3 linked regions of the Cricetulus griseus genome follow. The protein of the gene in region 1 binds, or shares a complex with, the protein of each later gene. Links are inferred from orthologs where the notes say so. Each region holds a gene or a part of one and is shown in the gene's direction. Other genes may lie near its edges.

Region 1 (9,880 bases):
AGCTCACTCAACACGGAGTCACAAGGAGACTGTTGGGGTAGAAACAAGGGTAGAAGAGTAAAGAGTAAGTGTACAATGCCGTGGGATAGTCCTCTGTATGCTGTAAATACGTATTCTTCTCACTGGTTAATAATGAAGCTGAATTGGCCTATAGCCATGCTGAATAAGACTAGGCGGGAAAGCCAAACAGGTGCAGGAAGAAAGAAGGGTGGATTTGAGAGAGATGTGAGCTAGGTGCCAGAGGAACAAGATGTGCCAGATGTGCTAGACAGCAGGTAAAGCCACAAGCCACATGGCAAAGTGTAGAGTAATAAAAACGGGTTAATTTAAGTTGTAAGAGCTAGTTAATAACAAGCCTGAGCGATAGGTCCATCATCCTATAATTAATACAAGCTTTTTTGTGCGATTATTTGGGACTGGGCAGTCAGGACAGAAGAATAGCTCTATCTGCCTCCATAATAAAAATAATTTAAAATTTTTTTTGGCTGGCCTTGAACTTAATATGTAGCCCAAGTTAACCTCTGATTCATGATCCTCCTGCCTGAGTCTTGTCTTTGCTGGGATTACAATGGTGTGCCACCATGCCTAACTAGAAATCCTAAGTATCTGTTGGACCCACAGGTTAGGCACCCTGCTGCCTCACACCTAAAAGTTCTAAAGGAAGAATCTTGAGAGTGGAAGGGATGGTCTTCAAGTGCTCCCAGTCTTGTGGAGGTCCCTTCCCTCTGCAGCCTCCATTTTGTAAACTGGGGCCTTCTTCCCTTCACAAGATGGTTGTTGACTGCCCTCTGCTGGTCATTTCTTCTTTTGGCTCTCCAAATAGTTTAATAGGAAAGCAGGCCAAAAAAAAAAAAAAAAAAAAAAAGAATGGAATTCTGTTAGTTACTGTGATCACAACTATGTTTAAAGCCTTGTTGAAGAGATTTAAAAAAAAAAATCCTAACTCTCAGAACACCTACAGTCCAGTTTGAATGCAGATGAAAACTCGAATACATTCATTCACACAGCAAGGTCGAAGACTTGAGTGTGAAGAGGAAAGACTTCCTGTACAATTAGGGGGAACAGGTGATCAGAAAGGTTTTTTTTTTTTTTTTTTTTTTGAGCCAGGATCTCATGTAGCATAGGAGAGCCTCAAACTTGCTATGTATCATAAGATGATTTTGAACATCCAGTCTTCCCGCTTCCACCTCCAGAGTGCTGGGATTACAGGTGTGTAGCAGTTCACATAGTTCTAGGGACTCAGCCCAAGGCTTCACATAGTCTAGTACTCCACCAGCTGGGCTGCATCTCCAGTCCTTACTGAAAGAGGTTGTCAGGGCAACTCAGCCTCACCTTGAACCAAAAGCAATCTTCCCAACTGCTGAGATTGTACAGGAGACATCACATTCAACCAGAGGAGATCGAGGAGGTAAGGATGTGTCAACACAGAACAGCCCAGACAAGGCCAGATAACCAGGGGATGGAATCTAGTTAAAAACCGGCTAAGAGTGGTTAAGGGTTACATCATGGCATACAAACAGCCATGACAGGGGTTAAGGTTAGTCGTCGTGTGGCTGCCTCAATAGACCCAAACAGGGTCTCACTTCTTAGGTCTGGCTATCCTGGATGGAACTCACTCTGTAGACCAGGCTGGCTTTGAACTCCCAGAGATCCTCCTGTCTCTGCCTTCCAAGTGCTGGGATTAAAGACATGCACTAGATATGCAACTTCTCAAAAGACTGACAAGTGGTAGGCCCACTACACACTCATCCCTGAGAAAACTGAGCTGATTTAAAACATACTTAGAAGGGGGAATAAATAGAATTTGTTTTTTTGTGGAAAAAGAGATTCCCTGCAAGGTGGGTGTGATGACTCAAACATGTAATCTTGCAGTCAGAGCACCAAGTTAGAAAGACTGCCATGAGTTTGAGTTGCAGCAGGCCACCCTGAACTACAGTGAAACTGCCTCAAAAAGCAAACGAACAACTGACGGGTGGTGGCACACACCTTTAATCTCAGCTCTCAAGAGGCAGAGGCAGGTGGATCTCCGTGAGTTTGAGACCAGCCTGGTCTACAGAGCGAGTTTCAGGACAGCCAGGACTGTTACAGGAGAAACTTTGTCTCACAAAGCTAAACAAACAAAGCAAACAGAAAGATTCCTTGCATGAAACTCATTGGTGCTGGGATAGTGATAGGTTCCAGCTGGAGGACTAGCCTGTGGTATGCAGAGGACTTAGTGATGGGGGTGAGGCTAGACATTGTGCTAATCGGGGTGCCAGGGAAGCAGCGAGCCAGCCATATGAAGGTGGGAAACCCGTACCAACACATAGACAGCTCCATGAATTCGCAGAGCTCCTTCTCGGAGAAGATTGCGCTATGTAAGACATGAAATACAAAAAGAACAAGTAGCCTGCAAACACTAGGGAAGGTGAAAGGGTAAGAGGTTGAAAAGGACAAGTTTCCTAGTTTGGTTAATAATGTACATGGAGATTTTAACTTGTTTCTGGTACCTAACGTGTACTAATACCATCTGCAGTGGTTAAGTTTCAATAGGCCTCCTTCTAGGCCTGTTGTCATACCTGAAGTTAATCTCAAGAAATTTCAAATGTGGGCTAGGGAACACAACTCAACAGAGAATGCTTGCCTGGCATACACCTGAACCCCTGGATTCAGCAACAAGACATGAACCTGGTGTGTGTGAGCACACCTGTAACTCCAGCACTTGGAAACATAGGGCAGGAAGATCAGAAAAAAGTTCAAGGTAGTCTTAGCTACTGTCCAAGTTCAAGGGCAGTCTGGATACATGAGGTCCTGTCTCAAACTTAAACATCCAAATGAGGGAATGCTTGTTTCTCCGGTCTCCAGTGTCATAAGACTTCCATGTGTGACTTCTAGTCACAAATCTCCAAGACGCCCTCTTTCCCTAGAAATTTCACCACTAACTATCATTGCACAACACACACATTCCCAAACAAAACAAATCTTCACCCAAATCTTTCATTATCTCATGAATCGTTACAGATCTCTCAAACTGCCTGGTGACCTAGCAGCCAGAACAGCTGTGCATCGATCAGTTTCTATGTTACCCCCACCTAACCTAATGAAGCGATGCGATCTTTTCACTTCCACATTTAGATGGGGGTGGGGGGCTGGCGGGGGCGGAGGAAAAAAAAAAGGAACAGAGAATGTCGTCACGAACAGGATTCGAACCTGTGCGGGGAAACCCCATTGGATTTCGAGTCCAACGCCTTAACCACTCGGCCACCGTGACTCCCAAAACCATGCTCCGCCGCGCGCTTACAGAAAGGGTCCGGGCGGCGCCCGAGGGAGGCGCGTGCGACCCCGCAGCGGTGGCGGCCCCGAGGCGCACACCTGGAGCCGCTGCCTCCTATCCCGCCTGCCTGGCCCGGAAGGGTCGGGGGCTCCGGGCTCGCAAACCGATCCCTTAATCACAGACAGTCGGCAAAAAGACCGGAAAGTCAAACGGAGGGAAGAGACCCCCCTCCTCACCTGAGCCCCGACCCCCGGGGGATGCTGGGCGGCACCGGGACCCGGAGCGTCAGGAACACCCGTGGGGTCGAAAGCGGAATGGGAGGAGATGAAAGGGACTTATTGGAGGGAAGGGAGCGCGCATGATGGGGGCCACTCGGGGTTAGGGGCGGGCGGAGCTCCTGTAGACCGGGGTCCCCCATGGGGTCCCCACTCCCGCTGCGGGACCCCGGGGAGCAGCCGCCACCCACCCGCGAGCGAGGCTCGCCGCCACCGCCCCGGAGCCCGCTCGCTGTGGCCGCGTCGGGCCGGGCCGCCAGCAGGGGGCGCTCCCGCGGGCCGGGGCCGGCCCAGGCGGCGGGAGGCGGCGGCCGTGGCGGGGAGGCGGCGGCGGGAGGCGGGCGGAGGAGGAGGCGGGAGCTGAGCTGAGCTGAGCTGAGCGGGGCGGGCGGGCGGCGGCGGCGGCGGGGCCCGAGCCCGAGAAGATGGCGGTGCGGAAGAAGGACGGCGGCCCCAACGTGAAGTACTACGAGGCCGCGGACACCGTGACCCAGTTCGACAACGTGCGGCTCTGGCTCGGCAAGAACTACAAGAAGGTACGCCGGGCTGGCGGGCCGGGACAAAGGGCTCGCGGGCCGCGGCTCTCCCGGGGCCGGCCCACCCTCGGGCCGCCTCGCCTAGCCTCGCCTCGCCGCCCCGCGCCGCGCCGCGCCCCTCCCCGCGGCCTCCCCGCGCAGCGCAGCGCCGCGCCCCCTCCCCACCCCGCCCCCACTGTGCCCTCTGCCCGGGGCTCGCCCGGGGCTCGGGGCGGCGGCCCAGGGCCCGATCGCCCTCGCTCTCCCGGAGGCTAACCGGTCCAGAGCCGGCCACCCGGTCGGCCGGGTACCGCCGCGCGCCTCCTCTCCTCCGGTGTGCGAGCCGCGGTGTCTCCCCCACCCCCCGCGCCGGAGCTTCCCCGCCGAGCCAGGTACCGGCACGGCCCGGGCCTCCCTCCTCGGTGCTTTGTATCCGTCCAGAGACAGACGGAGAAAGCGGGAGGGTAGACAGGCACGGGACAGGCCGTGGGAAGCGTCTCTACCTGGGGGATCACCTGTCCCCCAGGCTTTATCCCCTTCCCTCCTCCTCGGGGGCCAGGGCATCGGGCCCCTTGGCTTCACAATAAAGTCGCTCTGCAACCCAGCCTAGCTAGCTAGCTAGCTAGCCAGCGTCGCTTGGGTTTTGAGGGCCAGAGGATAGGGTAAGCTTCATATCGCCAGTCCCCACCCCCACCCCGTAACTGGAAATAATAAGGGTGGTGAACAAAAGGGTTCAAGAAGCCCTACCTGTTTTTAAAAACATAGCAAACAACAACAACAACAACAAAAAAAAAACCCAAATCTCATTCTGGTGTTTTCATTGTCTCTAGGCTTTTTTTTTTTTTTTTCCTGGATATGGCCTGCTTCCTAGATACCCCTGCCTAAGGTTCCCCCCCCCACCACTTATTTTCTTTTACAGCCCCCAACTCTTCCTATCCCAGCTTTGCAACCTGTCAGAATACAGTGGTCAGCCTCAGAACTCTCCACTAACCCTGCTTTGAGTTGGGGTCTCTATGGGTGTCAAGACTCTTGACAAACAGCTGTTGGGTCTGTGACTCCTGTGTGTACCCCCAGCATGAGGTTCTGCTTCCCAGTCTGCTTTTGACCTTTTGAAGGGAGACCAGACAAGGGTCTTAGTCTATCGCCCCAAGGGGATTGACAGCTGTGACCCGATTCAGCTTTCAAGTGCTGAACTCTTTGTCATCTACTTCTCCCTTCACAGATCTTTTGACACCTCCCACCGAGAGAGGTCTGACTCTGATTAGGGTAGAGGAAATAAGGGTCAAAAGGTAAAGAGAAAATTAGTTCCTTGGATCAGTGAACAAAACAGAAAGGTAGGATTCCAGGTAGCACCATAGGGAAATGCTTGAGGTCATTGTTTCCTCAGAAAAGGATAGGTAGATGTCGGGCTTCCTACTTATCCTCAGGCCCGGTGGGTGGTCTGCCCTCCTTGCTAGAGAGGAGACCCTACAATGACAATCATGTCAGGTTTCAGTGGAAGCAAAATGTACAGGCTTAGTTTTGAAGTTAGATTGCCCTGCCTCTCTTCTTTGCTCTCTTAAGATACCATTATGGGTGGAAGCCTGGTCTTTTATCGTGTTCCCCCAAGAAATACATTGTTGTGTCACTTAGAGCCTCAAAGGGATTTTTGTTGCCTTGCCTTGAACTTCATAAAGCTTCAAGATTTTAACTGTTTGCTGGGGATGAGGTGACCAGCTATCAGGGTGTTGTGCAATGCCAGCATTGGGGTGCAGCTAAATAAGAGTGCAAAGTGTTCCTTGCTGTCTGTCCCCAGTGCTGGCAACCTGGGCTACTGACAGTAAAATGCAGGAGCTGCTAGAGCCCTTTTGATATAGACAGACAACGTGGAGGAGAAAGGCACAACTCTGTCCCAGGTGCTTCCAAGAACACAGGGAAAAGAAACGGGAGGTGGTAGAGAGCGTGTCTAGAATCTGTTTCTCTTCCTTTCCCTTCTTCCTCAGTACATACAAGCAGAACCACCGACCAACAAGTCCCTGTCTAGCCTGGTTGTGCAGTTGCTCCAGTTTCAGGAAGAGGTTTTTGGCAAGCATGTCAGCAATGCACCCCTTACTAAACTGCCGGTGAGTGCAAGGGACGAATCCTCCAAACTGGAAAGGGAGTTTTTGTTGTTTTGCTTTAAATTTTCTTTTCCTAGTACACAGAATCCCAGAATTAGGGTGGTTGAGGCAGGAGAATCAAAAGTTGGAGGCCAAACTGATTTACATAGCAGTTCTGATACTGTGTCCCATGTTATGAGACCCTGTCTCAAAAGAAAAAATAAATTCATCTTGTTTCTCTTCAAATTTCGTAATTTTGGTAGGTTTATTTCCTACAGTAATTGTCGTCATTAGTAGTCAGGGCATTACAGCTTGAACTAGTCCCCAGCTGGCTATTCCTGTTATTTTAGAAAACCCCTGTGCCACAAGTAATCTGAGAATATGGGGTTTAGTCCTCTGGTGTGTCTCTCATGGTTATGGTTTAAAAGGGTATGACATTTGGGAGCAGGAGAGATGGCTCAGTGGTTAAGAGCACTTGCAGAGTATCTGGGTACCATTACTAGTACCCACATGGTGGCTTATACCTCCAGGGATTCTTTTTTGTTGTTGTTTTGTTTCTCGAGACAGGGTTTCTCTGTGTCTTTGGAGGCTGTCCTGAACTAGCTCTTGTAGACCAGGCTGGCCTTGAACTCACAAGAGATCCGCCTGCCTCTGACTCCCAAGTTCTGGCATTAAAGGCATCAGCCACCAATGCCTGGCTGTTTGCTTTTTAAGACAGTGTCCTGGCAGGCAATGGTGGCTGATGTCTTTAATCCCAGAACTTGGGAGGCAGAGGCAGGCAGATTTCTTGTGAGTTCGAGGCCAACCTGGTCTACAAGAGCTAGTTCAGGACAGCCTCCAAAGACACAGAGAAACCCTGTTTCAAAAAAACAAACAAAACAAAACAAAACATTTGAGAAGGAGATGAGTTCAGAGTGGGATTTTTGTGGCAGGTTTTTATTTACAATGTAACTCACACTTCTTCCTGGTCTCTATTTTGTAGATCAAATGTTTCCTAGATTTCAAAGCAGGAGGATCCCTGTGCCACATTCTGGCAGCTGCCTACAAATTCAAGAGTGACCAGGGATGGTGAGATGCCTTCTCTCTGCTGTTCATGTTTAGTTTAAAGAAAATTCCCAGTGTTTCCTGGGGTCCTTCTGAAGCCAGAGGACGCATTAGAAATCCTATGTGTCTTTTATTTTGATAGATCAGAAAAATAGATGGCATAGCCAGAACAGTCCCCAAGAACCAGTGTGTCTGGGAAGAGGGTTTTTAGGTTGGCATCTCAAACTTTGTCCTTTTGATTTAACACATAGAGTGAATCATGCAGTTGTGACTTGGGCAAAATTTGTGACAATATTACCTCCTAATTGTTAAGAAGTTCTGTACCAAGCTGGGAGTTGGTGGCACAAGCCTTTAATCCCTGTACTCAGAAGGCAGAGACAGGTGGATCTCTGTGAGTTTGAGGCCAGCCTGGTCTACAGAGTATGTTCCAGGAATAGCTGGGACTGTTACACAGAGAAACTCTATCCTGAAAAACCAAAAAAACAAAAACAAAAAAACAAGTTATGTACCCTTGGGGCTAAAGACATGGCTCAATGGTTAAAGCACTGGCTGCTCTTGCAGAAGATGTGGTCCTGCTCCCACATGGCTGCTCACAACCCTCTGTAACCCAGTTACAGGAGATCCAATGACCTCTTACGGCCTCCTCAGGCATTGCATTTACATGGTGCTTACAAACATGGCGAAACATCCATATACATAAAATAAAAACATAAATGAGTCCTGTGCCCTCACACAAACTATAACTTACTAGATTATCATCCCTTTACAAGGCGGCGTTACGATTTCCAGAATCCGTCTCGCATGGACCGCAATGTAGAAATGTTCATGACCATTGAGAAGTCCTTGGTACAGGTAACGTTCAAGCCCTTCCTCCCATCCATTTTCCTTTTCGCAGAAAGAATATAAAGCAGTCTCTCCTCATCTCATCCACTTCTCCTCCTCACAGAATAATTGCCTGTCTCGACCTAACATTTTCCTGTGCCCAGAGATTGAGCCTAAGCTGCTGGGAAAATTAAAAGACATTGTTAAGAGGCATCAGGTAAGTGTGAAGGGAGGCAGGTAAGTCAGGCTCCTGAACTCCTGACTGGTTCACGCATTGTCACCCCTGTTACAGTGCGTTTCTCCACAACTGATGTGTCTTCCATCAGGAAGCAACTTGTGCCACGTTCTCCCCTGTGCTGTGGCCCTCTCTACTCACACTTTGAACAGCACTTGTCCTGCTTGTCAGCTCTGTTCCCCAGGCTTGATAGACTTATCACTGCCCCTTGGCACTATATTGGCCTGGATGAAGGAGAATGTCTTCCACTGAACTAGACAGACCTAATTTCAGATAAACATAACCCTGCAATCAGGTGCCATGATGTGCCCTGGCACTTAGGAAGTGGAGGCAGGAGGATCAAAACAGTTCAAGTCATCCTTGGCTACATAGTGTATTCAGGCCTGCCTCAGCTATAAAAGTGATGCTATTAAAACAACCACAACAAAATCTCTCTTCTTTGGAACTGCTTTTTATTTGTTTGTTTGGTTTGGTTTTTCGAGACAGGGTTTGTGTGACTTTGTAGACCACACTGACCTTGAACTCACAGAGATCCACCTGCCTTTGCCTTCTGAGTGCTGGGGTTAAAGACATGAGCCACCACCACCCTACTGGAACTACTTTTTAATGAGAAGTGGGATATTATGGATGGGCACAGAGTCCACTTTAAATTTCTGGTGGGTAGGGCTGGGACGATGACTTCAGTTTCTTATGTAAGTATGAAGAACTGAGTCTGGATCCTCAGAACACATGTAAAACCTGGGTGTTGTAGTTTCTACCTATGACTCGAGAGCTAGGAAGTAGAAACAGGTAGATCCCGGGGACTTGTTAACCAGCTAATCTGAAATGTCAAGCTCCTGGTTCACTGTCTTAAAAAAATAAGGTGGAAAATAGAAGCTAGAGGTCACTTGTAGTTGACCTCTAGCTTACACACACACACACACACACACACACACACACACACACACACAGGCAGTACGCCACACACACACACACACACACACACTCACTCACACACACACACACACACAGACACACACACACACTCACACACACACAGACACACACACACACACAGACACACACACACACACACACACACACACACACACACACACACACACACACACACACACACACACAGACACACACACACACACAACACACACACAGACACACACACACACACACACACACACACACACAACACACAACACACACACACACACACACACACACACACACACACACACGCCACACACACACACACACACACACACACACAGGCAGTACGCCACACACACACACACAGACACACACACACACAGGCAGTACGCCACACACACCTCTCCACTATGCAGCGCATCCACACAGAGGGTTGTCTGTGGTAATATTTAATTCGTTGGCTTTTCCCCAATGCTAACACATCGTTACCACTGTGTTTTTTTGCCACGTAATGCCATTGCAAGAAAGATGTAGTTAGACGGGCAGGTCTGTGCTTAGATTTTAATTCTTATATTTATACCTGAGAGTAACTCAAAAGGAAGTAGGTTTACCTGCTTTTCCCTGTGCTATCCAGGGAACCATCACTGAGGATAAAAGCAATGCCTCCCATGTTGTGTATCCTGTCCCAGGGAACCTAGAAGAAGGTGAGACCGGGTCTTCCTCTCTGCTATGAT
Region 2 (9,780 bases), on another chromosome or scaffold:
TGTGTGTGTGTGTGTTGTTCTTATATCAGGAGTGCAGGCTGGCTGTGTCTTCCTGTGTGTATGTGTGAGACTTTTCAAGTAGACTACCTGTGTTTCTCTGTGTATGTCTGTGAGTGTCCAGGTATATCATAGGGCCTGGGTCTTCCTAATTAATGTGGGTCCAGATCTATTTGTGGCTCTGCCATCTCCTTCTGAGTACCCAGGGTTTAATTGTATGTCTTCTGAGTGTGCAGCTATATTCGAAGGTCTGGTGTGTCTGACCACCTATCTGCATGTCCTGCGTGTGTGTGTGTGTGTGTGTGTGTGTGTGTGTGTGTGTGTCTGTGTGTATCCTATTCAAATGTTTAACTTTCTTTGGGTGTGTCTGAGGGCTGGACTTTGACTACACAGCTGTTTACGAGGGCCTATATTGTTTCTGAGGGTTTCTGGATATATTCAGCATTCTGGCCTTGTCTTTTTTTTATTGAGTAGAGCTGAGGGTGTGGCTGTGTCTCCCCAGGATCTGGGTACACTTTCCAGGGCCTGAGGTTGAATCTTTATGTCCTTGTTGGCTGAGTGTATGCTGGGTGAGGGAGAACCTGTCACTGCCACAAGAACCATGCCTGTGTCTGTCTTGGCCTTGCCCCCCAACCCCTCTGCAACCTTCTGCACTGCAACGCCCCCCACCACCCCCCACTGCAACCTGGGCACTCTGCAACAGTCTCCTCGATTGACACTGCTTTCCCTGTGGACTGTTCCCAGATTGTGAGGTACCCCTGAAGAAGGAGGGTGGCCTTCCGGAAGGGCCAGTCCTCGAGGCTCTGCTGTGTGCCGAGACAGGAGAGAAGAAAGTAGAGCTGAAGGAAGAGGAGACCATCATGGACTGTCAGGTAGGAGCTCCCACCCTGACTGCAGGGCCGCTCTCACCCTGTCACCTGTCACCACTTGGCCTTCCTGCTCTGAACCACCTGGCTCCATAGGGCCTCTGGGTACCCTACGTCTCCATCCTCCCAGAAACACCGCTGCTTGTAGAAGGCTCCCTGACTCGCTCTCCCGCCCCACCTGCTGCACACCAGTGCCCCCACCTTCTTGACCCCCCAATCTCCCTTCTACTGGGCCCAGAAACAGCAGTTGCTGGAGTTTCCGCATGATCTCGAGGTAGAAGACTTGGAGGAAGACATTCCCAGGAGGAAGAACAGGGCCAAAGGAAAGGTATCTTCCGGAAGCTTCTCCCCACCACCTCCTCCCCAGAGCTGTATGTAGGAGTAGAGACTCAGTGGATTATAAACATTTCCAAAAAAAAAAAGCTTGCGCTGTGGATCAGACCTGTCTGCAGAGCTGGGTGTGGTCCTCCACACACAGAGTCCCAGTGCCTGGGAGGCTGAGGCAGGAGAGCTGCCTCAAGTTTGAGACAAGTGAATTCCAGACTATTCTAAACTACATACCAGAGACCCTGTGCAAAGAGAAATAAAAAAAAAATTCTAACCCAAACCAACCACCCAAATAACCACTCCCTCCCGTACACACAACACAGAACAACCCAAAATCTTCTACTGGATGCCCTTTATGCCAGCACTCAGGAGGCAGAGGCAGGTGGGATCTCTGTGAGTTTGAGGCTAGCCTGGTCTACAGAGTGAGTTCCGGGACAGCTAGGGCTACTAAGAGAAACCCTGTCACAAGCAAAACAAAACCAAAACAAAAATCTCCAGTAAAAGCAATAAAAATGTGTTAGAGCACACCTTTAATCTCAGCACTAGAGAGGCCAAGAAAAGAGGATCTCTGTGAGTTCAAGGCCAGTCTGATCTATATAGTGAGCTCCAGGACAGCCAGGGACAGCCAAACAGCAACGACAAAAAGAATTATCTTCATGTTTGTACTGAGAGAAGTCGAAGACTTATAGCTAGAAAGTTTGCTCAGTTTCATGTGCAGGTTGACTTGCTGTTGTGGGGTGCAGATGGAACCCAGAGTTTCATACTCACATGACAACTGCTCTATCACTGAGCCAAACCCCAAGACTGAAAAGAAAATTAAATTGTTTTCCAGTTTGACTTTCAAGTCTAAGTGAAGAAGCCCAATAAAGCATGGCAGCAAACCCATAATCCAGAGGCAGAAGGTCACTGCATGGCCAGCCTCTTCTACATAGTGAGTTCCAGGACAGCCAGGGCTACACAGTGAGACCCTGCCTCTGACAGCAACAACAACCAAACTCAAAAAAACCCAAGAATGAGGAGCCTTTCCCTGGTTTTCTGGGCTCCTTACTCCTAACCCTCCTCCTTGCAGGCATATGGCATTGGCGGTCTTAGGAAACGCCAGGACACTGCTTCCCTGGAGGACCGAGACAAGCCGTACGTCTGTGATAGTGAGTTCTGCAGAGGGGAAAGAGAGAGGAAGCGGGCGGGGGTGGGGGGTGCGGGGTGCGGGGCGCCCAGTGACCTCACACATTATGGCCCTTGTTCTGGTAATGGCTCTTGGGGAAAGGGAGTGTTCTTTGGGAGAGGGGATGGATGGTATGATCCTGGAGGCCAGGGTGGAGGCGGCGGCCTTGGTGTCTGACAACTACCCACTCACTCACTCTTCAGTCTGTGGGAAGAGGTATAAAAACCGACCAGGGCTCAGCTACCATTACACCCACACCCACCTGGCTGAGGAGGAGGGGGAGGAGCACACTGAGCGCCACGCCCTGCCTTTCCACCGGAAAAACAACCATAAACGTGAGTTGGAGGGCCAGGGCTGGTGGGGGAGATGCCTGGGTGTGCGGTGGGGGCAATGGAGCCTGGTAGTGGCTGGGGAAGGGAGGTGGGGGCTCATTAGACATTTCTGGAAAATCTCCAGCCTAACGGTTCCCTCCCCCACCGACCATAGGGATGCTGGCTCTGGGGTTGCCATGACAACCAACCATCTCTCTCTCTCTCTCTCTCTCTCTCTCTCTCTCTCTCTCTCTCTCTCTCTCATTCTCTCCCTCACTCCCTGCCCGGGCATAATATTTCTGGGTCTGATTTATTGTTTCAATTAGAGCTTGGGGGGGGTGATAGATAACTCCTCTCCCTCTCTGGGCCTCCCTTTTTCCCTTCTCTGCTATGCTAGGTCCAGGGGCAAGGTCTGTGGCCCCCAGGGTTCTTGACACCCACCCACACCCGTTCCATGCCATGACAGCTGAGCCATGGGGGAAGGGAGCTGTCTCTCACCTGCCCCTCAGAGTGAGCTCCTCAGCAGCCTCAGGCCAGGCCCAGAACCTCCTGTGCTCTTGTGTCCTCCTGAATAGGTCTCCTTACCAGGTCTTGCAGAACTGCCTGCTAACTGGTGGCCCAGCCAGGCAAGCTGACTTGAGGGTGCACACACGTGACGGGGAGGCAGTCATGGTCTTTTGCTAAGGTTATACCTCTTGCCCACACTCACCCAAATAAAGAGAACATAGAGTTACGCCAAGTTTGGGTGAGATTTGCCCCTTCCCCAGCTGTTTTTGCTGCTTCCCAGTGCCTGGGCCAAAAGTCCACCCCTGGGGCTGAGGCTGGGGACAGATGGGACCTTGCCTATAGTAAGAGCCCCTTTCTGTCCCCCCACCCCCAGAGTTTTACAAAGAATTGGCCTGGGTCCCTGAGGCACAGAGGAAACACACAGGTAGGGGCACCTCCCTCCACCCTGACGTTTGCAGCAGTCTTTGACTAGGGTGCCCACCTGTCCCGTGCCCACCGCTGCCTGCTGTCTTTCAGCCAAGAAAGCACCAGACGGCACTGTCATCCCCAATGGCTACTGTGACTTTTGCCTGGGGGGCTCCAAGAAGACTGGGTGTCCCGAGGACCTCATCTCCTGTGCAGATTGTGGGCGATCAGGTGACACTCACCACATTTTCCTGGAAGATGCAGGGGAGGGGACACCCCAGAATTCAAATTTGGGGAATGGGAGGCAAGGGAGTAAAGACCCCAGGGCACAGTAGTTTGGCAGAGCCTAGGGGCTGCCCCTGCTGCTAAGGACTGTGGGAAGCTGAGCGGGATCAATGTAGGAACAGTATGAGGTGTCATGGCTTTGTGTCTTCCTGGTATGGAGAATGGACAGAAGCCGCAGAGGCATTGTGGGTAGGGGGACTGAGGTACGGGAGTAATGAATTGCACCACCTGGTTGCTGTAGAGAACAGACTAGAACTGTGGTTAATAGAATGTGGTTTCTCATGGAGGTCTCATGGGTAGTAGCATGGGTAATGGATTGTGGTTGTTGCAGTATGGGTTGTCTTGGCAATTTAATACAACGGAATGTGATTGTTACGGCATGGTGGACCATGGCTGTGAGATGCCATGGGTAGTGGCTGTGGGGACGTGGCTACTGGCCTTTGGGCAGTGTGGGCAGTAGCTCTGGCTGTCAGGCTGTGTGGGCTGTTGGTGTCTGGCTCTGTGGGAAGTAGTTGTAACTGTTGGGTGTTATGGGCAGTGGCTGTCGGGCTCTGTGGACAGTGGCTGTGGGTGTTGGGCGCTGTGGGAAGTGCTGTGTGCAGTGGCCACAGGTGTGTCTGTGCTGCTTTGGGAGAACAGACTAACACTGAAAGTATTTATTGTCAGTGGCGGTTTGTTTGCTGGTGCCTTGTGTGGCATGGCCTTTGGTTTCATGGAAGCGGTTGCTATAGCATCCTGGCTGGGAGAAGGCGGCTGCCACGTTGCTGGGGTTAACATGAGGGCTGGCCGCCGCTCTGCTGTGGGTATTGGAATGTGGCCGCCGAGTGCGAGTGAGGTGCTTTAACAGACTGTGGTTGCCACAGTGTTGTGGGTGGTAGGACGCGGTTGCCACAGCACCGTGGGTAATGGAATGCGGTTGCCATGGTATTCTGGGGAGCAGAGTGTGGTTGTCATGGTGGCTGAGTAGGAGACTGTGGTGGCCGACACACAGCTGCTTGCCAGCAGTCCTGCTTCCGGATGTCTGTCTGTCTTGGGGGTAGGGTCCCCACCACCAAGCTCATCTTGACCTCTGAGTCAGGGGTGGGGGATAGAGCCATTACTTCCCCAGGGGTACAACGACCTGCTAACTGCACCCCTGCCCCTCGGTCCCCAGGGCATCCCTCGTGTTTACAGTTCACGGTGAACATGACCGCAGCGGTGCGGACTTACCGTTGGCAGTGCATTGAATGCAAGTCTTGCAGTCTGTGTGGCACCTCGGAGAACGACGTGAGTACCTGCCTGCCCCACCTCCCGGGGCACACCTCCGCTGCCCCTCCAGCCTGGCTGCGCTGCTTTTGCCCGTGAAGCCTAAAGCCTTCCTTGCTCATCGCCCCTGGGTGACCAGCAGTAGCATCCGTTACTGTTGTCACCAGCGCCCCTTGACTGGAGCCTGTCTCTGTACACCCTTCCCGTCTGACACCTCCCAACCTCCCTTGAGGCTGCTGTTGTTGTTCCCACTACACATAGAAGAGGCTGCTGAGCTCAGGGAGGGAGAGTGATGCCTGAGAGGCCACCACGCTGAGAACATGGCAGGGCCAGGATTTGAACCTATGTATGTGTACTCGTGGCTCCCAAGCTGCTTTGGGCCCCTGAACATCATTCCGTATTCTGTAGTTACAAAATCCAGACGACAAGCAAGGCCAGTGGGCTCCACAGTACAGACTGGAGAGCCAGCTCTCTCAGAAGAGCCCCTGGGGACCTAGCCCCTGCCCCAGCCCCCCCACCCCGGTTTCTGGTGCCCATGCCCCCAGGGTGCCAGCTGGGCGGGTCTCACCCCCCAGGACCAGTTGCTGTTCTGTGATGACTGCGATCGGGGTTACCATATGTACTGCTTGAACCCTCCCATGGCGGAGCCCCCGGAAGGTGAGGGAAGAGGTTTGAGAGACATGGGGTGGGTGGGTTGGAACTCTGTCTTCCTGGTGGCAGAGACCATGTGCTCTGGGTGGGGACAGGTGGGGGGCGCCCTTCTTCGGTTTGAGTCTAATTTTGTCTTGTGGCTTCCCCCGCAGGGAGCTGGAGTTGCCACCTCTGTCTTCGGCACTTGAAAGAGAAGGCCTCTGCCTACATCACCCTCACTTAGGCCTGGCTCTGCTTCTCCAGGACCTTTGGGTGGTGCTAACTTTCCTGCCTCGAGGAGCTCCTGGCTCTTCCCACCCGGTGTCCCCAGGGGGAGGGAGGCGGTGGAGCACGGAGGGGACCAAGGCGTTCTTCTGCAAGTGGAATGTTACCCTGTGGGTGGGTGGGTCCTGTAAGGCTCCTCCTGCCCCCCTCCATCCCTTGGCAAATGGGCACCAGGGGCTTCTGCTCCCCTCAAAGCCATACCCCGCCTCTGGGCGGGCATAGGGGGGTAGTGGATGCCATCTGGGGGCACGGAAAAGCCTTTTTCTAAAGAAAAAGACAAAAAGTAAAAAAAAAAAAAGGAAATTAATATATACAAAGAGTCCTATAAAGCCTGGCTGGGTGGAGGGGCACAGCGGAGTGTCTGCTGGGTACCAATGTTACCGGTTTCCTGACTGGCCCCTCCCTGCCCCGATTCTGGGGTTGCAATTGTCTCAACTCCCCCATCTGAGGTGGGTACCATTCCTTCCTCACACCCAGGCCAGGTGGGCGATGTGCCCACCCACTGCCCTCCCCCAGGACCCACCGTGGATACTGCATGATGTGAAACCATGGTTTTGAACTCTTCCTGCCCCTCCTTGACAGCCCCACCCTGCGCCCACCCGGTGCCTGCCAGGCCTGGGGCATGCAGCTGGGGGAGGCCGGTGGGGCGAGGCAGGCAGGCAGGCAGGCAGCCAGCCCGCTGCAGCGAGAAGCACAGATTGCAATGGACTCATTTTTTTCCCTCTCTTCTCAGCCCCTTCCCTACCCGGCCAGGCCGGGCTGCCTCCTGCTGCCCCCTCCCATCCAGCCATTTTGGGGGTGGTGAGGGGGTGTGGTTGTTTCTTGTGGTTGTGTGTGTTTGTTGTTCGGGTTTTAAAAAGGGAAATTGAGACGGCAAGTGGGGGAGGCGGAGGGTCTGGGGGAGTCTACCCCCAATCCAGGAGTGCCCCCCTTGCCACCAAGTCTCCTTTATTGCCTGCCTCTGCTGTGAATTAACTTGTTCTGTGTATTAAACTGGGCCTGACCCCTCTACCCACGACTGCCTCCTTCTCTAACATCCTTTGGGGTGTCACCAAGATGGGGAGCCAAGAGGCCTCATTGGGGTAGAAAGCACTGTGGCCGGCCCGCACCCCCTTGCCCCTACACCCTGCCTCCCTCTGGCTTTGTCCCAGCTCCTCCCTGTCTTGCTGCAGAGAAGAGGGGGATGGGGTGAGGGGCTCCCACCCAGCCAGCTGTGGTTGCCCTAGCAACGGGCTGCTGCAGCTGCAGCGGGAGGCAGCTCAAAGAGGGAGGTGGGAGTGCGGGCTGGGGGGAAGGGAGGGCTGGAGAGACCCGAAGGCAGCCCCCTCCCGGGCTGTGGTGAGGAGATGGCACCCCAGCGTGGCTGGTTGTCACCTGGGATTCCCTGCCCTGGGTGTGGCTAAAGTTGGAGATGGGCAGGAGCACATCTCGAAATACAGGGACTCAAGGAGACATGGGGTGGGGGTGGGGGTGGGGGGTGAGCGTGGAGAACCAGGGCACTGATCAGGAAGGGGGAGGATTCTGAGGTCACAAATTTACTGAATGAATAAAGGACAAAGCCGGAGAGATACACAGATGAAGAGAGAGCCCCCCCCCCCCCAAGAATTCCAAGGGAAGAGAACAGAGACAAGGATGGAGGACTAGTCCAGAAATTTAAAAAAAAAAAAAAAAAAAAAAAAAGGCCAGGCTCTGGCAAGACCAGGGGAGGGTGAAGTGGACAGCATTTTGGAGAGAGAAGCAGAAAATTTACCAAGTCAGGAGGAAGCAAAAGGCAGGCAACAATAGACAGCGATGAGGGGGTAGGTGGGTGGTGTTTTCTGGTTAGAAGGCAATGGTAGCAAACCGTGTGGCTCAGAATCCCAGCATTGGAGGCTGAGGCAGGAGGATGGTGACCTGTAGGTCTCCTTGGCTACACTGTGAGCCTTCTCTTAAAAAAAAAAAAAAAAAACTGGGTGGGGTGGGGGACAACAGAAATCTGGAGTGCCAGCCAGCTGAGGCCAGAGATAGAGTGGCAAGCTAAGAAGAGGTGGGGGAGGGGGGGCAGGAATAACTGGGGCAAGGAGGGAAGGGACTATTGGCAGCGCAGGCGCCATCAGGGCTTGGCGTGCGCTTGCGGGTGCGCCTGTGAGTTGTGGGGTGTTGGGAGATGGTGGTTGGTGTGTCTCCCGGGCCAGGAGAGGATGTGAGAACAGTTTGTTCCCAGGTTCCCTCCTCCCGGCTTGGCCCGGGCTGGTGGGGGGAGGGCAGGGCTGGAGGATGGGGCCCCGAGGAGGGTGCAGAGTGAGGATGTCTGAGTAGCTGGGAGGGCCTGATTCTCCACTGGATAGATGCAAACCCTTTCGGGAGACATTTTTAGGGGGCAGGGGTGCGGAGAGGGCCAGAGTTGAACTCATACACAAAGAGGCCAAGGACAGCTAGTTGTGGGGGGTGAAGTCCTGTTCAGAGAAGCGGTGTTCCCTCGGGAAGTGGGTCCTTGGGATCTTCCCGTGGAATTCCTGAGTCTGAAATCAGTTTGCCTCAGTGTCCACAGACGGAGTTTTAAATTGCCCCCACCTTGCCTCCAGGAGGGCCACAGAGAACCTGATCCTGGCCGTGGTCTCAGGAGTGTGTTGGTGACACTTCCCTTGTGGATGCAGAGGGAGCTTCATCACGTAATTCCTACCTCTGACCCCTAGAGGCCTGGGGCTGGTCTCCACTGCAAGCCACTCCTGGACTGATGGCAGAGGGAAGTCCATGCATGCCACAGTGGGGCTCAGTGGGCGGGGCAGAGTAAGCAAATGAGGTGGAGATGAAGAGGTGTGGCTTGCAGCAGGTGGGGCCCTTATGGGGTAGGGACTTTGATTTTTGAGTCCCACAGATTAGGATAGTTTTATTTTACCTGAAATCCTGTGTTTTTGTTGGTTTTGAGACAGGGTCTACATGGCCCTGGCTGTCCTGGAACTCCAGTAGACCAGGCTGGCCTCAAACTCAGAGATCGGGGTGCCTCTGCCTGCCAAGGGCTGGGATTCAAGGCGTGGACTTTCTTGTTTTGCCGTTTTTTTTTTTTTTTTTTTTTTTTTTTTCCTTAAAACATCAGAAAAAGGAATAGGGTCCCTTGGGTCTGGAGTTGTGAGCTGCCATGTGGCAGCTGGACATTAGTGCTCCTCTGGAAGAGTAGCTGGTGCTCTTAACCACTGAGCTACTTCTAGTCCAGAAGTTTTTTTTTTTTGTTTGTTTTTTAAAAAGGATTATTACCACTTATCTTGGGGATAGCTTGCTATAGAGCTGAGGATGACTGTGAATTCCTGATGCCCCCTCCCTTCAAGAGCTGGGATTACAGGTGTGCGCCAACACCACCAGCTTTTTCCAGTCTCTGGGGAGGTAGGCTCTTGCTGGAGAGTCCAGGCTGCCTGGCCTTGAACTCTCAGGGATCCTCCTGCCCCAGCCTCAGAGCGCTAGGATTAGAAGCCGACCACCGCCTCCCCCTTTTGAGACAGGGTCTCAGAGTGTAGCCATAGCTAGCCTGGAACTTGCTATTTCAAGCAGCCTGGTTCAGACTCAGAGATCCACCTGCCTTGCCTCCTGAGTTCTGGTATTAAGGGCGTGTGTTACCATGCCCACCCTGTAGACCTAGCTTTTTTTTTTTTTTTTTTTTAAACTTTAGCACAATTCTACATCCTGAGGGGCAGATTTGTGTTGTCTGGATGCCAAGGAAAAGCTGTAAGGGCTGGTAAGTGTATGCTGTACTGCAGGGGTGTGACATGCGTTTAAGGGAGCC
Region 3 (9,880 bases), on another chromosome or scaffold:
GTGCCCAGGGACATTACTCTGACCTCTCCCCTGACGCTGCCCCCATCATCATCCTCAGTCCTGAGCCCTGGAAGTCTCTGCTTCCTAAGGGTTTCCCAGCCTTCATTCTGGCCTCCAAAGGCAGTGTCCTCATTCTCAGCCATGGCTTACAATCTCTCAATGTCAGTCAGTTGCCTCCAGGACCACATTTCTTTTCTTTTTTTTTAAATTATGTGCAGCCGGGTGTTGGTGGCGCACGCGTTTAATCCCAGCACTCGGGAGGCAGAGGCAGGCAGATCTCTGTGAGTTCGAGGCCAGCCTGGTCTGCAGAGTGAGTGCCAGGACAGGCTCCAAAGCTACACAGAGAAACACTGTCTCGAAAAAAACCAAATATATATATATATATATATATATATATATATATATATATTATGTGCATTGGTGTCTGGTTCCCTGGAACTAGAATTGCAGACAATTGTGAGCTGGGTGCTGGGAATTTAACCTAGGTCCTCTGGAAGAACAGTCAGTGCTCTTAACTGCTAAGCCATCTCTCCAGCCCCAATTTCTTAGTATTTACATCCCACCTTCTCTCTTCAGTGTTTTTCTTCTCACTCATCTTGTACAACCATTTTCCCACCCAAGGGATTGCTCACAAGCCCAATGCTCTCTTACAAACAACTCTGAAGGCGAGGTTACTCCCTACCCCCATCATTGTCATTTGAGAGGAAGCCCAGACAAGCCCTCTTCTAAGGGGATGACCCTGATCTGGCCCAGTTGGTGTTTCTTGTCTTACCCTGGTGCCCAATGCTCCCTTCCCCTGCCTTTCAAATACCATCTAGTCTTCCTATATGTAGGGTTGTCCTTTGCTTCTCTGAGTCCAAGACCCAGCAATAGGGAATTTACAAATACTTGCTATGTAAAGTAGCTGTTGCTAGGTTATATTTTTAGTCTAGAAAACCCTTTACCCCTTGTCTCATGTCTAAGGTCTGCTTAAGCAAACCAAATTAATTGATATCTTCTTCATGAAGAGTTTCCCTCTCCTCATGTTGGAATGGCTCAATGCCTCCACTCTGGGCTTTTGATACCTATCACTTTGTCTCACACTAATGTGTAAAAGCCTCCACACTTTGGACCCTTGACAGTCCTAAAAAGTAGAGGCACCCAATAAACACTCAAGGATATGACCATTGGGATTGTGTACACCAGGCCACAGTTGAAGATGGCTGGGATGTGGGGAGGGTTCCTTTTTCCTTTCAAGTCACATAAAGCAATTGCTCTGTTTGCTTGCAAGGTTAGTTCTCTCTGCAGATGGATGGGAATTGCATTTTGAGGGCTGTTACCATGCCTGGTTTGTTTGTTTATTTATCCATTTGTTTGGTTTGTCAAGACATGGTTTTTCTGGGTGTAGCTTTGCCTATCCTGAAACTTGCTCTGTAGACCGACAAGAGTGACATCAAACTCAGAGATCCACCTGTAGGATTAAAGGTGTGTGCCACCACTGCCTGGCTTTGCTGGCCACAGTTTAATGTTTCGCTTTCTTCAAAGGAAGTTTACTTCAGCTTAGTGCTTAGAACATACCAGAGCTCGTTGTGGATACCAGGAAACCGCTTACTGAGGTCACGGCTGCCTGTGCTGTGGATGAATGGAGAGATGGAAGGGGAACCTGCTCTTGCTTTTGATATAATCCTTCTAGTTCCCAGAGCCCTGGAGGAGCTTCGATCATTGAGGATGGCTTTTGCAGCACCTTTAGTTTGTTTTGGATGAGGGATGCTTCTTAGGACTGAGCCTAGGGCCTTGTGCATGCTAAGCAATCACTGTAGCACTTAGCTGTTTCCCTAATACTACTCTTACTTTGTCAAGGATTTATTTATTTGATTTATTTATTTTTATTTTATGTGTGTGGATGTTTTGCCTGCATATTATGTCTCTGTGCCTTGTGCAGTACCTATGGAAGTCATGGATACATGCATGTTTGTGTACCATGTGCATGTCTTGTGCCTGAATTGTTCAGGAGAGGGCATCAGATCCCCCTTGGAACTGTTGTTACATGGTGTATATCACTAAGTAGTTGCTGGGAGAAACAACATGTGCTCTCAACTACTAAACCCTCTCTAGTCCCTGAAATGTAACTAAAAAAATGTTTTGACATCACAATTAGTAAGAAGGGTTTTGGGTCTATGGAGCTATATCATGGAATTATTGATGTCATTGTTGTTCATTTGCTCTAATCAATGAGTTTCAGAAGTGGATAGTTATTGCTACATTCTATTGTCATCTTATTGGGATTCCCTATATTCTTTATGCCACCAGCTGACAAGTGATGGGCAGACAGGTGGATTTCACAGCCTATATTACTACTGTACAGCACAGCTAAAGACTAGACTTTAATTCTGGTCAAGTTTTTTTTAAGCGTGTTCACTCCAAGTCCCTTGTTTCTGAAGGTTCTGGCCCAAATCTGTGTCTTTTTTTATCTATGATACAAAAACCAAAGTTAGTAACATATCTTTTATTTCTCACAAGTAAAAAAAGTGACTATAACCAGGCAGTGGTGGTACATGCTTTTAATCCCAGTGCTAACCAGGCAGAGGCAGGCAGATCTCTGAGTTTGAGGCCAGCATTGTCTCCAGAGTTTCAGGACAGCTAAGGCTACAGAGAGAAACCCTGTGTCAAAATAAATAAATAAATAAATAATAAAAATAAAAAAAAGGACTCTAAAGTCAGACTTGAGGACTATAAAGTCAGACTTGTATTGACAGTTAAAATGACATTCCATCAAGCACAAAAAACAAGGCAATGCTATTTTTTTGGGGGCAGAGCCTTGAGACTGGGTTTCCTTATGTAGTCCAGGCTGGTTATGAACTTCAAGGAAGCGCCATCATGCCTGGCTCTCTCTATGTAGTTCATCAAAACCAGCTTTCGATACAGGAGACCCTGTAATGAGAGAAGGGGGTGGGGGAAAACAACACCCTACTAGGCAAACAAAGAGTTAAATATTTCCAGTCTGCACACACACGTACTCACTCAGCTTTGCTGGGCTTATCTGTAACTCTAATAGTGAATGGAGTTGGAATCTGAAAGTTCTGGACTGCTTTGTAGTTGTATTTTACTTTATTCATTGAGGGCAGTAAAAGGAAAAAGCAGGTGGAATTATGAACCAGCAGTTCAGCATCTCTCATTTTTTTTTCTTTTCGCCCCCCCCCCCCCGCCTCGCCATCCATTTGGCCGTATTAAACAGCTATGGGTCGGTAGCCAGGCTTCTACATGCTAACGACGCCTCTAAGTGCTTTCGCTCACTCTGAGCCTCCCTCCCTGTTCTCCGTGGAAGCCTGAGTTCGCAGAAGTCTCTCAGTTTCTTCAAGTGTTCGCCAGATTCTGAGCAGCAACAGACTCGGGAAGCCTCGAGTCACGTCGCAACATTGGCTTGAGAATTCTTTTTGCGTCCTATATTAGTCCAGAAAGGTGACGCCGGTATCCGCAGCGCCGTTCCCCGAGGGAACTCCAGCAACACCCACCTCAGGCTCTAACAATTTTGCTTCCTTAGCTGCGTTTGCTAAAGTTGCCTCAAATCTTCCCTATCCTTTTGCCAAAAGAGCGCCAGGTCTCCCTTTGCTCTCCAGCTGGCCCGTGTCAGATCATTGTGAATCGCTGACAGCGGAGAACGGTGTGGTCGTAGGGGACAGCGCAGAGTGACCACCCCTGAATTACGTAACAAAAAACCGTAGCAGCAGCAGAGGGCGAGCCTGACGCTGAGACATTCCAGGGGGAAGGGAGTTGCTGTCCTGGACTAGCCAGTTCCCAGAAACCGACAGGGGAAGGTGGCTGAGATAAAGAAAACACTTCGGGGACAAGAATATTCAACAGCCTCAGAACCTACAGCATTATTAACAATCGGTGAAACACGAGTAGCAATTTCTTGCAGGGAATTGCAGCCTTCCAACTTTTGCACTGAAATACGGGAGGTGTACCCGGAGCGGGGGTGGGGTGGGGAGGTAAAGACGGTGATATATGAAGTCCAAAGCTAATGAATGGGATTTAATGGTTTTGATGGCCCTATGTAAATATTCCTGCTCAGGAGCGCAAACTCTCTGCAGTTATTTAGTAAAGTAGGGGCTCAAACTAAGAGAGAATTCTCTCCCATGTGTGTCCACTAGCCCCAATCAGCAAGGGCGCTACTAACACTGTACTGCCCCTTTAAGACCTGCTCGCTCTCGGGCTCTACAAAAGGGAGTGACCTCTGGGCTTTGACAGCTCCCCTAATAACTACCACCACGTAGGCCCCGCCTACCTGGCGACCAGCCGCGGCGATTGGCCTGCAGGCCGGTATCCCGTGCTCTGATTGGCCTGCCGCTTCCCCTGAGCGAACCTTTAGAACTCTGAGACAGACAATATTCTGTTACATTGTAGCAAAATGGCGACTGTCATTCACAACCCCCTGAAAGCGTAAGTAAGACTAAAAAATGTACATATTCCGCGTGGTTTCAATATGAAAAAAAGGCGCCTTGCGGAGCGCAGCCGGCGCCCGGCTCTTGCAGACGCCTCCCGCTGCGCCCGGGCTCCTCTTTTCTTCTGCTCTTACTTCTTCATCTTTTTTTTTTTTTTTTCCTCCCAGCGCGCAGAAATGTCAGGAGATGCAATTAACAAAAAGAAAATTGTTACATCTGTGTTCTGCTTAATTGACTGACCCGGACCGGGAGGGAGCCCGGAGCGGCGGCGGCGGCTCCGGAGCTGCGGGGGTCTAGAGCAGCTCGGGCTGCACGGTCCCCGGAGTCCTCTGCCTCTCCCGGCACCTCGCGGGGCTGGCCGAGCCCGGTCGGAGCGCGGGGCAGGGGCCGCGTCGTGCGCTCCGCTGAGCCCTGAGCTTCAAGCCCGAGGCTTCCCAGCTCCGCGGCTCGTCGGTCCGCCCGGGCGGGCTGATCAACCGCTGCAGCTGCGGAGTTTGCTGGGCGTTCGCTCTGCCTTCCGAGCTCTCGCAGGGAGTTTGTGCAAACCTTCCGGAGTTGGGAGGACAGCGCGCGGAGCGGCGGGTCTCGGGAGTCCTGGGGCCCAGGTGCTAGCCCCGGGCTTTTCCACTCGAGCAGCCGGGGGATCAGGGAGGCGCTCCGGGCGGTCACCGGTGTGTCTGCGTATTTGTGGGCGAACTGGCGGTAGTAAATTAACGACCTGGATTAACTTGGGGGTTGATGTGGAGGCAGGGAAGCTGCAGGTCTTATGAATGGTGTGTTTGCCTGCTTTGGGTGAAAAGCCGAGGTAGGCGGAGGCGGTTCGGGGCTCTGGCGACAACGAGGGGCAGGTGCCTCCGGGAGACTTTGAGCGGACAGAGGGGGGCGGGCTGCGCGAGGATTCGCGGGGGCCGGTCCCCGGTCGGAGCTGCCTGCCTGCCTGCCTGCCTTCCTTCCTTCCTTCCTTCCTTCCTTCCTTCCTTCCTTCCTTCCTTCCTCCCTCCTTCCTCCCTTCCCTTCCTTCCTTCCCTTCCTTCCCTTTCTTCCTTCCCTTCCCTCCAGTCGGTGAACTGTGAATGTGAAGCCGCCAAGTCCGCGAGCGATCGTGGAGCCGCGGGTGGCCTCGGAAAACTAGTGTGGCTCTCAAGGGGCGCTATTGGCAGGGATGTTGGCAGAGGGTGGATCCCTGGGAATTGCTGCGCGGTGTGGGCTCCGGTCGGTGCCGGTTGTACTAGGACTTCCCCGCCCGGTGAAAGCCTCTGGGAGTAGGAGGGTGCGCGTGGGTGTTTCGTGCCAATTCTTCCCAATTTGTGGCGGTGGTCGACCCTGGCTCTTTTAACTGCCTGCTACAGCGTCCTAACCCGTGGAGTCAAAAACACGGTTCGCTTTGGAGAGCAGCAAGGCAGTGCGGGGGGGATTCCTAGTGCCAAGAAACGCCTAGGGAGAACCCGCTGCGTTTGCACCAGCTAGCAACCAGGAATAGGGCAGGGATGTCCCAGATCTCGGAGTTTCCACGAGATAATGCGGTAAAGAAGACACTGGAGGCTGAGCCTGATGCGAGTTCCTGGCTCCAGTTCTCGCTCGGAAGCTCAGCTACTTTGCACTCGCGACAGCATTTCACCTAAGAGAGAAAATGTTTTATGGCAGAATAAATGGGCGTAACTTCGCCGCGTCCTCGCCGACTCGCGCCGCCACACCGCTGATGCCAGGAGTTTCTCCAGAACCCACACAGCTGATTTGCAATTTCCTCATTTCCAGCCGAAATCACGTAGTCGAGCTGATGCTGCTTGGTAAACTGAAGTCTGAGAGTTCTATTTACTATGTGTATGGGGTTCCTTATTGGGAAAGCGGTCTCCTTGATGCCCGGGAGCGGGCTTACGCTCGGGCGCGCGCAGGAGCTCCACGCTCCAGGGTTCCCCAGATCGTTTCACTTTTTTTTTTTTTTTTTTTTTGACATAGAAGCCTGCGAGTGTAGGGGTAATGGGGGAAGGGACAGAGCAGCAAGAAGGTGGCCAATCTCGGTAGTGAAATTAGTTCTGAATTACACGTGTACTCCTTAATAATTGGAAACACCGTGGGATGCATTTGTAACTCCGTCTTGGCACACACACGTACACGGGAGCTCACACACATCACCACTGCCTGCCTTTCCTAGGAAGGAGTCAAGCCGTCACTTTGTAATTATCCGCCCCCTTTTGCATCCCATCCTCTCCCCCAACCCCTAGGGCTAAGGGTGTAAACAATAACCCCAACGGCCAAGGGTTTTGCAGCCTGGATATTTTAAAAACTCCGCACGCAGGAGCACACGCGTCGTTACTGGGAGACCGACGTCATCTGCTTCTATTATTATTATTATTATTTTTAAAAACTTGTTTAATAAAACATCTTGTATATTTCATTTGTTTTTAGAAGTTGCTGTTCAGGAAACAAAACACACGTGAATAAATTATGCATGGGCTAAATTAGAACAAAGCGCAGCGACACAGCAAGCCGAAGGGATGGATGGGGGCGCAGGGAGGAGGAGCAATGAGAATGGTTTGGAGAGCTTATGTGTTTATCCTTGTGTGCCCCTCCTGACAATGAACCGGAGCTCCAAACCGCATTAGCATTTTCTCCGTGTGCGTGCAGTCTCTCTCGTCTTAAAAAGGCAACACCACGGACGCCCCCTACAGAAACTGGTCACACAAAGATTTCCTCTTGGACTGCGGGATAAGTAGCAGTAGTTAGGGTATGGGGAAAAGCCAGCTCAGGTTTCTTTCATGCAATCTTGTGCAGGGCTCTGCCTTCTTAGACTATGGGTTACTTTTCATCTTGCTAGCCTTTTTTTTTTTTTTTTTTTTTTTTTTTTCCCATGTGGGGCATTCAATAATTCAATTCACTGGGTGACTGGATGGTTAACTTGAATGTCTTTGCTTTGCATAGGGTGGGGGTGGGGGTGGGGGTGGGGGTGGGGGTGGGGGTGTCTTCTGTAGGGTTCCAAGCGCCTGAAAACAGCCTTTCTTGGTAGTTTGCCTTTCTTCCTGGCTATCTTTAATCTCCCCTCAACTCCCCTTGTTGCTTTCACCCTTTCCTCTCTGAAGCTGACAGTCTGGCTTCTCCGTTGTAGCCTTTAACTTCTTGTTACTGCCCAACAGGGTGTGTTAGAGGCAGAAAGAGGAGCTGCCTGGACAGATTAGATCAGAAAGGAGACTCGGCAGGTGGCCCTACAACAAAGTGGTCACATCTGGACAAATATAATTCAAAAGCACGGATGGACATGTGTGGTGTGTAAATGTGTGTTGTGTGCTGTTTAAATTAGCAGCTACATTGTCTGAGTGCAGATTGTTGGAGTCATCCTCAATTTCTGTATACAGAGGTAAGGGCCACAGACGGATTTGAAAAAGGCATGTGTGTGTGAGAGTTACTATTGTATACTTGTTGATTTCTGTATACTTAGGAAATAAATGCTTAAATTAAAAAAAATACTTATTTTAGCTGGGCATGGTGGCACATGCCTTTAATTCCAGCACTTGGAAGCCAGAGGCAGGCAGGTCTCAGTGAGTTCGTGTCCAGACTAGCTACATAGTGAGTTCCAGGACATCCAGAGCTACATAGAGAGAACCTGTTAAAAAATTACTATTTTATGTGTGTATATTTTGATCTGGTGAGGTACTGTTACAAGTGCAAGTGTGTGTGTGTGTGTGTGTGTGTGTATGTATGTGTGTGTTGTCAGAGGACAACTTTGGAGTCATTTCTACTTCTATGAGTTGTGAGGATTGAACTCAGCTCAGACTTGGAAGCAAGCAAGGTTACTTGCTGAGCTATCTCTCCTTTCCTTATAATACTTTTTTTGTAAGTTCTAACCTTAATATTCTAGTTTAGGTAAATCACCTTCCCCCATGTCTGCCAACAGCACTTTAGACAGAGCAATCTCTCAGTGACTTCTCGAAACTCTGGCCATAAGCACTTAAACTGGGAATGCCTGCCACCTTCTGCCAGACTTGATCATGTACATATGTATCTATTTTTATAACTCCAAGCTCAGAGAGGAATAAATGCTATCATTACTTAATTACTCTAGTTAGGGCTTTAATACTTTAATTATTTGATTTTAAACAATGAGAAAAGCAAACTACTTAGTCATGTTTGTCACTATGATTCCATGTACACAGTTGCATCAAAACTTTACTTTGTAAAGAGTTACCCTAGCTTGGAGGTCAGTGCTGTTATTTATGCTTTATTATTAAGGACATAACTCTGAGAGAAGTAAATGTTTACTTAGTCGAGATCCAACATGGCTCATGTGTATAGATGGACCCCAAGTTTTCATCTTCCTATCTGTTCTCTGATGTGGATGATGTGTGTTCTAATCTAAAGTGGGTTTGGGGCACATGAAAGTTAGAAGCCAGACCTTACTCTTGCCGTGGTAGCCAGTTTAGCTATCAGAGAGGAAGGGCCAGGGGGCCACATTCCTGGTGCTAATCTTGTCTTGGCTATTTTCGTTGGGGAGGGGGTGGTGAGTAGGGTTGGGGCTTTGTGAACTTGCAGCCTTTTATGGACATTATTTTAGTCCTTTGTGGAAAAGTAGATGTTTCAGCACTACTATCTCTCTCTGCTTTTACTCATCAGTGTAAAAAAAAAAAAAAAAAAAAAAGGATGTGGGGGAGAGGGATAGCTCACCAGGTAAAAGCACTTGTTGCTCTTCGGAGGACCTGAGTTCGATTCCTAGCACCCACATAGAGCATCTCAAACTGCCTGTAATACAAGTTTGAGGGATTATTTGACACTCTTTTCTGGATTCTGTACACGTACACATGAACACACATACTCTGGACACATACACACACAATCTTTATTGGGGGGGTGTTGAGGCAGGGTTTCTCTGTGACTTTGGAGGTTGTCCCTGAACCAGCTCTTGTAGAGCAGGCTGGTCTCGAATTCACAGAGATCTGCCTGCCTCTGCCTCCCAAGTGCTAGGATCAAAGGCGTGCGCTGCTACCACTGCCTGGCCATACAATAAATCTTAAAAAAAAAAAAAAAAAAAAAGCCCCAAAGCCTCCAGACTTCATTAACACATTATTTTTTCAATGGGAAGTTCATACCCATGAAGGACATTAGTTTCAGTCAGAATCCAAGTGGCAAATCTTTGAAAACAACTGCTGCTGACCTCCCGGGATCATTTGAGACCCATAGAACAGACTGGGATCCCACGGTGATTGACTTGGAGGGTCTACTTCTTCCCTTGACTCCTGGAGCCACTCAGGTAGCTGGAATTCAGATTTATCCTCTAAAGGCTGTGATGTCTCAAGCTGTTTTAGAACCATCCTTTTAGATCAACATCAAACATATGAATGACCAGCATGCTTTGTTTTGAGCATGTACCCCAAAAGGATGGAAACTGAGGCTGGCATCCGTTTTTCAAACTGTAGCCCTGTAAATGGCAGTGACAGTCATAAAAACGGCCCCAGGATTCGGGGGTCTGC

The links.
Region 2: Smarcc2 (region 1) and zinc finger protein neuro-d4 share a complex: the UniProt entries of both Homo sapiens proteins name them as parts of the neuron-specific chromatin remodeling complex. The link is inferred for Cricetulus griseus from reciprocal best matches to the Homo sapiens genes SMARCC2 and DPF1.
Region 3: Smarcc2 (region 1) and Dpf3 share a complex: the UniProt entries of both Homo sapiens proteins name them as parts of the BAF complex. The link is inferred for Cricetulus griseus from reciprocal best matches to the Homo sapiens genes SMARCC2 and DPF3.

The regions. Positions count from the first base shown.
Region 1 is NW_023276806.1:129,429,653-129,439,532, reverse strand, and holds the start of Smarcc2 (SWI/SNF complex subunit SMARCC2), read left to right. Parts: upstream 1-3,903; 5' UTR 3,904-3,953; coding exon 3,954-4,064; intron 4,065-6,025; coding exon 6,026-6,145; intron 6,146-7,103; coding exon 7,104-7,189; intron 7,190-7,935; coding exon 7,936-8,017; intron 8,018-8,111; coding exon 8,112-8,204; intron 8,205-9,780; coding exon 9,781-9,850; intron 9,851-9,880. UniProt on the Homo sapiens protein: Involved in transcriptional activation and repression of select genes by chromatin remodeling (alteration of DNA-nucleosome topology).
Region 2 is NC_048602.1:6,511,235-6,521,014, reverse strand, and holds the end of zinc finger protein neuro-d4, read left to right. Parts: intron 1-741; coding exon 742-869; intron 870-1,101; coding exon 1,102-1,191; intron 1,192-2,259; coding exon 2,260-2,338; intron 2,339-2,558; coding exon 2,559-2,690; intron 2,691-3,546; coding exon 3,547-3,597; intron 3,598-3,689; coding exon 3,690-3,809; intron 3,810-5,016; coding exon 5,017-5,129; intron 5,130-5,653; coding exon 5,654-5,765; intron 5,766-5,911; coding exon 5,912-5,982; 3' UTR 5,983-7,038; downstream 7,039-9,780. UniProt on the Homo sapiens protein: May have an important role in developing neurons by participating in regulation of cell survival, possibly as a neurospecific transcription factor. Belongs to the neuron-specific chromatin remodeling complex (nBAF complex).
Region 3 is NC_048598.1:120,232,590-120,242,469, forward strand, and holds the start of Dpf3 (zinc finger protein DPF3), read left to right. Parts: upstream 1-4,318; 5' UTR 4,319-4,387; coding exon 4,388-4,419; intron 4,420-9,880. UniProt on the Homo sapiens protein: Belongs to the neuron-specific chromatin remodeling complex (nBAF complex).